Linked DNA regions of Bombyx mori. The protein of the gene in region 2 binds, or shares a complex with, the protein of the main gene of each other region. Links are inferred from orthologs where the notes say so. Each region holds a gene or a part of one and is shown on either strand. Other genes may lie near its edges.

Region 1 (5,503 bases), on a different chromosome or scaffold from region 2:
TCTAGCTTGTGAGGTTCTGCTTCCAGAAACAAGGACATTTGTCCATCGTGATCTTCATTGTCAAATATTATTTCAACATCAAACCGGTAACAGTCTGGTGGAGTTATGGGACCGGCAGCCCTGAAGTTGATGGTTTTGATGGAAAACATTAATTTTGCTCTAACTAATGATGAGAAACTGATGTTCAATCCAGCATCTCTAATGTACGCTTCAGATTTGAAATCTTCATTATCTTTAATTGTGAAATTTATACAGGTCTCAAAGACTTCAGAGTTAAACTGGTAGCTCTCATTAAAGCCATAAATAATGCCTTGTTTATAGTTGTACTGGCAAAAGACAGGATCTGGCATAAAGTTATTTTCATCATTGTACGAATATGGGCCTATCGCATTAGATAAATTAGTATAACCGGCAACTGCATAGTCTAATGTATTGTAGAACTCATCGATTTTGTACAAAGCAAGTGGTCCTGCTCCCGGTGGATATGCGTTTATCTCACGTGTAGAGTCCCAGCCGAGTAAAAATAGATGCGAGAATGTGATTCTGTTATCCCATGTATAGTTCACGTGATTGTATCTGTTATGAGCGAATAAACATAGCTGAAAAGTCACAAGTACAATTTTGATTACCTGCACGACAAATTTGTAAGGAAATTTTCTCTTTGCTTTCCATTTCTCGATTGGATTCATAAAGAAAAACTGCAGTTTTCTACGCATTTTTTCTTCCATTTGAGTAGGCGGAGAGAACGAAGTCGATTGGTGAGGAAAATCTTGTTCATTGTTGGCATTCGGTCGAATTTCCTTTTTGTGATCGTCTTCGCCTTCAGAACAGGTAGTATCATCAGGGGCATGCATGATTTCATCCATGGATATAACTTCTAATATAATTTTCTAAAAAGACAAGGTCAATTTGTCACGAACGTTCGAACTTGTTTTTTTTACTATAATTAGAGTTTGAAACGCTACATGGAACTTAAGATTCGAATAATAGTAAAAATGAATTCGATTAATAATTAAAATAATGTTTCTGTTGTTCTTTGTTTACTTTCAAGGATTGAGTCCTCGATTTAAAATTGTCACTTGCACATTATACCAGAATGTCACGTGTTTTTTATTTATTAAATTGAATAAGCAAATGGTACCACGCAATAACTATTCTGTTATAAAAGGCGAAGTTGTTTTAGTTCCACAATAAGTAAAACTTAACAAAATTCACTGAAATAGAAATATAATGAAATGGGATGAACAAACTTCTCAGTTAAATGATGGGGTTCTCTTCTATCTATCAATATAAAAACATCGGCTTCTTGCGAGTTTAAGTGATAATCAGGTATTACTTTGCCGCTTTGTGAAGTAAACATTATAATAAAGTGAAATTAATTGAAGCTCATCAACAGGGTAAAAAAAAAATTGTTTCTTATCAATCGCAAAATATTGTATGTTATGTGTATGTATTAAAATATCGTAATTGTTGAGACTTCGGTAGATTTTTGGGAAGAACCCAGGAATCCCAGTCCAGTACTTTGTTCATGTACTCACCTTCACCTTCATGGACACTAAACGGTTTTTATATGTTTAAACTTGAATAAGCACAGAATTAACTAAACAAAACAATTCACAAAACTTCTGTATTCACTTTCATTCCAAAAACACTATTGCGGAGTAATTTCTACAGTAATATCACTTCCTTTTTCACCCAAACGGTTCGGTTTAATTTTGACAATTTTAAAAGACAGAACTGTATGGAATTATTTCCCTTTGTGTAACTAAATAAAACAAACCAACGGAATAATTTATGTTTGCCAAATGTCGAACGAAGAACACATCATTGCCTGTATGTATTACCTACTGTGATCATAAATTCATCGAGAATTTTATAAAAAATATATGGCAGACAGCGTAAATATTCAACAAAACATCTATCTACATATTCGGTGATGGCTCTTGCGGCAGAAAAGTTAATCAACAAAGAGAGGTACAATAATAATTTTAACAATATTTATTGTTACGTGATTTAGTTCGGGGAAAGTTGATGCCCACTCGACCCTATAAAATAAAACGTATAAAAATTACACATTTTCACATCTTAATTTTTTACAGTCTGATTGCAAATACATAAACAATTTCACAGCATTTCATTGAATAATGTATGTAAATAAACAATGTAATTGAGTATAAAAACAATATTTAGTCTATGAAAAATCTAATCACGAAATTATGTTGTTGCTTCAAATTCATAAACTTGAAAATCACTGCGACATTGAGACTTTAATTACAAATTCTTATACTTGAAAATCACTACGACATTGAGACTTTAATTACATGAAAAGTAAAAGTAGTATTTATTTTATTTACAAATATTACAAGACTAGATAACTATCATGGGATCTGGTATTTTAATTTCCTTGTAATTCAAAGTAAATATTTTTAAATCTCCACTCTACCTTTAGTACCCTAGATCTGCTGCTTTTTGGGTCTATTAGTTTTTTGATTTTACAGCTTCAATATGTATGTTAATGTGTAGGCTAAAATGTGAATGTTTTTCAAATACAAGTTATGGACATGGCAACAGATTAAGTAGGTACATTGAACAGTATTCATAATTAAAACCTTGAAAGATTCTCAGTCTCTCAGTCTCAGTTGTTTGAACTGTGAATTGGGAAAAAACAAATATTAAATCATATTTTCAACATTATCTAAACATAAAATAAATATAAATTTTCATTGAGTGATTAACTAATTGTATATGTAAATCTCTAGTTTCAGAGACATTGTTTTAAAGCACTTGACCTTACAATTGTGTTTCAAATACAATAGTATTGAGAAATCTATAATAAGTTTATAACATGCAATGAGGAAAGTCCTTGGGGACAAGTTTAAGGAAATTAAAATCTTAATTAAACTTAACCATACCAATATGAAAATTTTATGTGCCTTTTTTTATTGCCTTTGTAGAAAGACAATACAGCCCACCTGATGGTGAGTAGATGCCATTGCCTTTAGACTTCAACAATGCCAGGGGCAAAGCCAAACCGCTGCCTACATTGACAGATTGGGTTAGATTAGAACATCTAGCAAAGGCTAGTATCTGAAATCAAGAGAACAAGTAACTTTTTTATGTGTGCACATTTTCAATTAAATCCCAGAAATTAATGACTACTTCTTCAAAGATTTAACAAAATTTTTATAGAATGATTGTCAATAAGAGATTTTTACTAGATGGGTTTGTTTGGAAGTGAAGTTCTCTGTTACTCATCTGTTCTCTGTTACTACATTACTCATCATTTCCGCTCACCCCCCCTTTTCATTTACTATGTATTGTCATTCTGTTTATATTTCTTTTTTGTATTTTTATTGTCTTAGTAGGTAGATAAGCCCATCTGGTGGTGAGTGCTTACTACCACTCATGAACGTTAACAATGCCAGGGACATAGGAAAATCACACCCACTGAGTTTTTTTTGTCATATTTTAGTTTTCAGTAATATAGGTATCTTGCAACCAGTGGTAGAGGTTTGATTTTCAAATGTTCTGAATGAATGTCCAATATGATGATTTTTTAAATTTAGTACTGATATAGAATAGAATAGAATAGAATAGAATAGAATAGAATAGAAGATATATAAACTATAATGGTTATTGTTTTTGTTGCTTTTCAGATTCAATGGAGAAAATGCATTGCAATTTTTACTGTATTTACCAATTGGAGTTATTCTGATGGTGATCAGAATATTCCTGGGTGTGATATTATGGATTGCATCAATTATATTGCCCAACAAATGGGCAGTCAGTCACATGTTAACTACTTTGGCTTGTTGGACTTTTGGTAAGATTTTGAAAATTGATAAATGTGTTTAATGCCTGAGGATGATATGTGTTATTTGTCTGAATGAAAAGTGGGACATCCTGAATTTTTTTGTTGCCATGATGGGTGAACATTTGTGCGGTTCCCCATTGACATTACAACATATTATGGTATAACAGATAATTTAAAAGATCTATGGGAGGAGCTGGTTGGAACCACATATTTAATTACTACATTTTACTAAACTCAATTTCATACAAAAAATCAGTAGGGGTACCATATTTTCCTAAGTAACTTTCTCTGTTTGTCGATTGATTGTTAGTGCTAGGGTGGCAGCACTGATTTCAAACTACTGCACCATTCTATCTCTGCCACAAAGTAATCATCTAATAGGATTTGAAGTATTAGTAGTATTTAATGCTCACTACTAGTCACTATCATACAATACACACACTATGTCACACCTTATAATAGTTTTACTTTGGATTGCTTCATATCCTATCACTTGCATGCCTTAGTTAAACTTTCTAAGGTTTGTTTTTTGCTGGTGTATTATTGTTGTATTGCCTTCCCAGCTTCACTAAGGTTTTGGAATATAGTTGGACCTTCAAGAATGTTTCTCTGTTTCGATCTTTAAAATAAAATAAAATGTCATCTGAATTTATCAATTAAATTTAATGCTTTGAAAATATATATGTTTCAGGTGTCTATGTGAAGCTCAAAGGACAAAGAGACCCAAGATGTAGTGTGTTGGTTGCTAACTATGTGACATGTTTCGATTCTCTTGCAGCTGCACATGTCTTTGGTACCATAAGTGTCAGTATTAAATTATTACTTTTGATTCTAATTACACAATCAACTTAAATAATAATTTATTGCATAGACAGGTTAATGAGCTCAATTCCCACCCAGAGTTAAGCGGTAACTGGAACAGTCCATCTGTCATCTTGGGAAATGGAAGTGATATTTATCATATAACAGCTGTTCAAACCTTCCTCACCGTGATGCTGATAAAACTATATGCACTTTATTACAGAATTTCCTTTGATTACCTACATTGTGGATGATAAAATGTTATCTGTCTATGGAATACTAATACAGTTGTATCACCCGATACAAGTTCTCTAGGCATCTTGTATTCTAAGCCACAGCTTCAGTATTTTTAATTCGCCATCATATAAAATTCTACATTTGCATTTGTGCAGCGAAGTATATTATAGAGTTGGTTACTTACTAGATGTTGCACTTTGATGTGACATATTAATTGTAGATCATTACAGTGTACGGGTGATCTTTTTTTTGTATTCCAACATTGGCAGGTCCTCATTGGATTCCTTTGCCTGTTTTGCTTATAACTGTGAACTGGAACTAGTTGCATAATTATAAAAATTGCATTACATTAACAATTTAAATTGAATCTGGAATTAATCTACTTCCTCTTAGTGATTTTCTGAATATTTTAATTCAGAAGGATTAAAAATTACCTGTTTGTTTGCAGTTGAAAAGATGGAAGTTGCCACCATTTTTCGCATCGACGTTGGGTATAAAGAACGCCTCACAATTTTCTAAAAAGTAAGTGTTTAGGAAAAATTAAATGTACTTAAATTACATATAAAAAAAATTTTTTTTCTTCTATAAAACACAATAGTTTTTCAATATTTCGAGTAGAAATACAGAGAATCATTACTTCGAAGCATACGA
Region 2 (4,146 bases):
TGGTTAAGACTAATATTATGAGCCTGATCCAAAATTTACTATCACATCTGAAAAGAAGTGTTAAGTTAAGTGGTTGGCTTTCTATGCATTCTGTTCCTTGCCAGAAAAAAATTACATATTATTATATGAATATGTAAATATAATAAAATTCAACACTACTTGGTTTTACCATTCACATTTTCTTTACAGGCTGTAAAATCATCCCTATTAAAGTATTTTTAATTTTAAAACCTCTAAAGTATAAAGGCAAAAAAAAGCCTTTGGGTTTTTTGTTATAATAGGTTATACCTTGCTCAAAGAATAAAGAAATATTTGGACATTTGTAATGCTTGCGTACATTATTAAAATGACTAATAAAGTATTCCATAATCCAGAATATAAGTAATTCATATAATAATAACTGATCAAATTTGACTTTGACTCACTGGTGCGGTAGTTAGCAGTCCTTACTGTTGCACCAAGGGTTGTGGGTTTGATTCCCACATCGGGCAAACATTCGTGTGATGGAGAGGTTTGTTTGTTCTTTTTCTGGGTGGTTATTATCTATATATGTATATATTTAAATGTACCTAAGTATTTATGTCAATTTCTGGTACCCATACCATGGGGAATCCTAATTTTGGGCCAGATGACTGTTCGTGATATATTCCCAGTTATATATTTATTTATTCCTCTGCAATGTAAGGTCTTCTGCATAGTATGAATGACCTGCCCTCTGTAACATCCTCTGAGACAAGTTTGACAAGGTTTTTGCTATCTGGACTCGCTAATCTCAAAATTTCAGTATCTGAATTGTCACAACTATAATGTGGTCTTAAATTGATTTTATAAGCATAGCACACTCCATGATTCTTTAAGTGACTTGCATTCTAGTGAAAGTATATTAGGCAAGTGACTATAAATTATGACCAGTGAAGATAAGTTGGTTGAAGGATTGACATTTTAAATTGAACAGAAAATTTATCCAGAATATATTTCTCAAAGCACCAAAATCATCCCAAGATTTTGTTACTGTTCTAGTTTCTATCAAGTAGTTTGAGGCAGACATACCTGTACACTTTTTTTATTGTTTTTTAATGCTCAGTAATATACGGTCTAAAATGGTGTTTCTGTATCAAGAATTGAAAGTAAAGCTAATTTTAATACTAACTTCTCTAGAACTCATGGTATGGAATAACATGTCCAAGAAAATTATAAATACTACCTATGTACATACTTATTCAAATATTTATAAAGAATATAATTAGATGTTTAAAAAAACAGCTTTAAAATTATTATTTAAAAGTCATTTCATCATTATATGCATAAATATATTGATAACATTGTTTATTTTTATTAAGGAGGTCACATGTTATCAATTAATAAAATTGCAATATTGCAACTATGTTTCAATAACAAAAATAAAACTATTAAATTAAAATAATATGTATTTGATAACCTATAAACAACCTTGTATTTAATTGCAATGACAATGCACATCTGATGGCATGAAAATGTATTTGCAGTTCAAAAATGAAATGATTACATTGCTCTTTTTCATAAATATAAAGTTAAATTTGGTATTAAAATTGGATTACTTTTTTACAATTAAGAGAGCAACTGACAAAAACTTACCATCTTTCGGAATAAATTGAAAGGCAAATGGTTTCATTATCAATAAACAATATTTTTTGAGATAATTGTCTTAGTTAAAATCCTATTACCTAGTATGTTTTTTTTAAATAAGGTTAGTAAAATATGTTTTTGACAAAATTCAATGTTAACATAACAACAATCATTAAGTAGGTAGGTAGGTACTCATAGTCTTACTCATGACGAGCTACATGGCCCTATGGAAAAACTTTTGTTCTCTAGAAATGTACTGTATGTTTCTGCATCTTTACTGAGAAGAATTTATATATTCTGCGATCTCATTTTTAATTGCATAATTCATTGCTCGAAAGATCACTGGGGAAGAGTTATAGCCATAAACCCATAGACGCAGCCCACTGAGTTTCTCGCCGGATCTTCTCAGCGGGTCGCGTTTCCGATCTGGTGGTAGATTCTGCGAAGCACGGTCCTTGCTAGGGCCAGTGCTAGCATCACACCGGTTTGAACCCTGTGAGCTCACCCATACGTTATGGCGAAACTGAAATAGCCTCTGTGTGCTTAGTTCTAGTTTATTAACGTTCTCAATAGCGTAAAAGTTAGCTCATATTTGCATGCAATGGGATCGTTTGCCTACGTTTTCCGCTAGGGGCGCTGTTCCAACTGCATTCAAAATTGGGTTAATTTTTACTGCACACTGAAGGCTATCAGCATAGGTAGGAGAAAAAAAGAAAGAAAAAAAGGCCATAAACCACCCACTGGTCCACTGTAGGTCTTCATTGTTCATTTGTGTGACAGGCTCTAGTACGAATGTCTATTCTCTATATTATGATGTTTCGCGAAATGTATCATGTGTATGAGGTGTGAAGTATTTTCTGTCTCAAGTAGTGTGTTGGCACTCCTTATTATTGCTGCCGCAAACGACGATGACCACGCATCATCAGAAAAATGGAAAATGCCGTCAGCCTACTAAGATTATAAACTTTAAAAAACATGAAATTAATTAAATTTATTCAATTTACAGTATATGCTGATGGTCGGGTATGCATATCAATCTTACATGCACCAGGTGATGATCCAATGGGCTACGAAACCAGTGCTGAAAGATGGTCACCTGTACAAAGTGTCGAAAAAATACTGCTCTCTGTTGTCAGCATGTTAGCAGGTGGGTTTTAAAATTTACAATTTGAATTCCAAAACAGCAATATATATTTTTTACCCCTAAATAAATTATTGTATCATTAATGTAGACAGAAGCTGAATTTGTTCAATAATAACATATTTCAGAACCCAACGACGAAAGTGGAGCCAATGTCGATGCTGCCAAAATGTGGAGAGAAGACAGAGAACAATTTAATAAAATAGCCGAAGAAATCGTAAGGAAAACTCTGGACCTGCCCCCTCCTTAATATTTTATTTCTTGATTATTTTATATCAATATCTAAATGAGATGCTAAGTAAATGCTGAAATGGATATCACGTTTAGGTACGGTATTTTATTATTCGCAAATTATATTTATAATGTTATATAATATATTCACTTTTAACAAACATTTTTATCAACTTTTATCTGCAAAGCTCATGCATAAAATATTAGAATGTTGCCAACTAGTTTTGGAAGCCTTATTAGACTTTGCTTGTTATATCAATTATATTGACTTAAGGAGCGTCAATTAACAAACCGATTGACCTCTGGTCATTTTATTTATCATGAAAGAGATATGAAACTTTTAACAGAAATAATGTTTTGTATTTATAAATGTTGAAGTTACAATTTGTTAAACTACAATAATTATATTCATATAAAGGTTTTTAACATTAAACTTTATGAGACCTGCTTAGCCAATCGAGGAAAGCATCACGGGCTTGGTACTGCAATGTAAAATTTACAGAACAAATTTCCTACTTAATTAATTCTAGTTTTGAGTAGCTGTGGTAGAGAGGGTTTTGAGAACCTATGAGTTGGTATCATAATCATATTTATAATGAAAAATGAAGCAATAATTTGTACATGGTTTGAAGATTTTTGGGTATGTATTTTATTATAATGTGATGGATTCTGACATTTGTGTTGTGTAGTAGTACAAGATGGTAATTTAACTAAAAAAAAAATAAAGTTCAAATATAGACATGGTTTTAATAGGCTATTTAGATTTTATTATTGCAATGTTGAGTAATATAATGAATCTTGTTAAAACATAAGAGTTATTTACAAATGTTTTAAAAGTTAAAGAATATGCCAATAATAAAGGGTTGTTAACAGATCGTTTCCGAAGCCGAAACGAGAATAAATAGCTAATCTAAAGTGAAAGTGTACTGTGAACTACCTAAGTAGAGCAATAAAAAACAAAGAGCTATGAATGTTATGGAAAAACTAACATAATACTAAATACTTCTTGTTTAAAAAAATATGAATTAATGTCCCAGTAATGTACCTAAATGTAAACAAGCAAATTATGATTATGTTCCTCACTCAACATTGTAGGTCCCATGAGTCACTTGATTTTATTATAACAGACCAAATGTAAATGAGTAAATAAATTCCTAAAATGGAATTAA

Evidence for each region. The genes of interacting proteins can lie anywhere in the genome.
Region 1: the proteins of ubiquitin-conjugating enzyme E2 G2 (region 2) and lipid droplet-regulating VLDL assembly factor AUP1 are in contact, whole or in part, in a crystal structure (PDB 7LEW), measured with the Homo sapiens proteins. The link is inferred for Bombyx mori from reciprocal best matches to the Homo sapiens genes UBE2G2 and AUP1. Residues at the interface, in NP_003334.2 of Homo sapiens: Tyr13, Thr17, Pro20, Gly23, Ile24, Val25, Ala26, Gly27, Pro28, Met29, Asn30, Glu31, Glu38, Leu40, Met42, Glu45, Glu50, Phe51, Val53, Pro55, Lys156, Val159, Gln160, Ser162, Leu163, Leu165; in NP_853553.1 of Homo sapiens: Ser379, Arg382, Gln383, Leu386, Arg389, Lys390, Leu393, Tyr394, Tyr396, Ala397, Arg398, Arg400, Phe401, Thr402.

The regions. Positions count from the first base shown.
Region 1 is NC_085117.1:18,440,544-18,446,046, reverse strand, and holds the start of lipid droplet-regulating VLDL assembly factor AUP1, read left to right. Parts: upstream 1-1,793; 5' UTR 1,794-1,936; coding exon 1,937-1,974; intron 1,975-3,656; coding exon 3,657-3,823; intron 3,824-4,505; coding exon 4,506-4,618; intron 4,619-5,300; coding exon 5,301-5,374; intron 5,375-5,503. Other genes in the region: mucolipin-3, read right to left, coding at 1-866. UniProt on the Homo sapiens protein: Plays a role in the translocation of terminally misfolded proteins from the endoplasmic reticulum lumen to the cytoplasm and their degradation by the proteasome. Plays a role in lipid droplet formation. Induces lipid droplet clustering.
Region 2 is NC_085107.1:15,238,535-15,242,680, forward strand, and holds part of ubiquitin-conjugating enzyme E2 G2, read left to right. Parts: intron 1-2,611; coding exon 2,612-2,752; intron 2,753-2,874; coding exon 2,875-2,996; 3' UTR 2,997-4,146. UniProt on the Homo sapiens protein: Accepts ubiquitin from the E1 complex and catalyzes its covalent attachment to other proteins. In vitro catalyzes 'Lys-48'-linked polyubiquitination. Involved in endoplasmic reticulum-associated degradation (ERAD).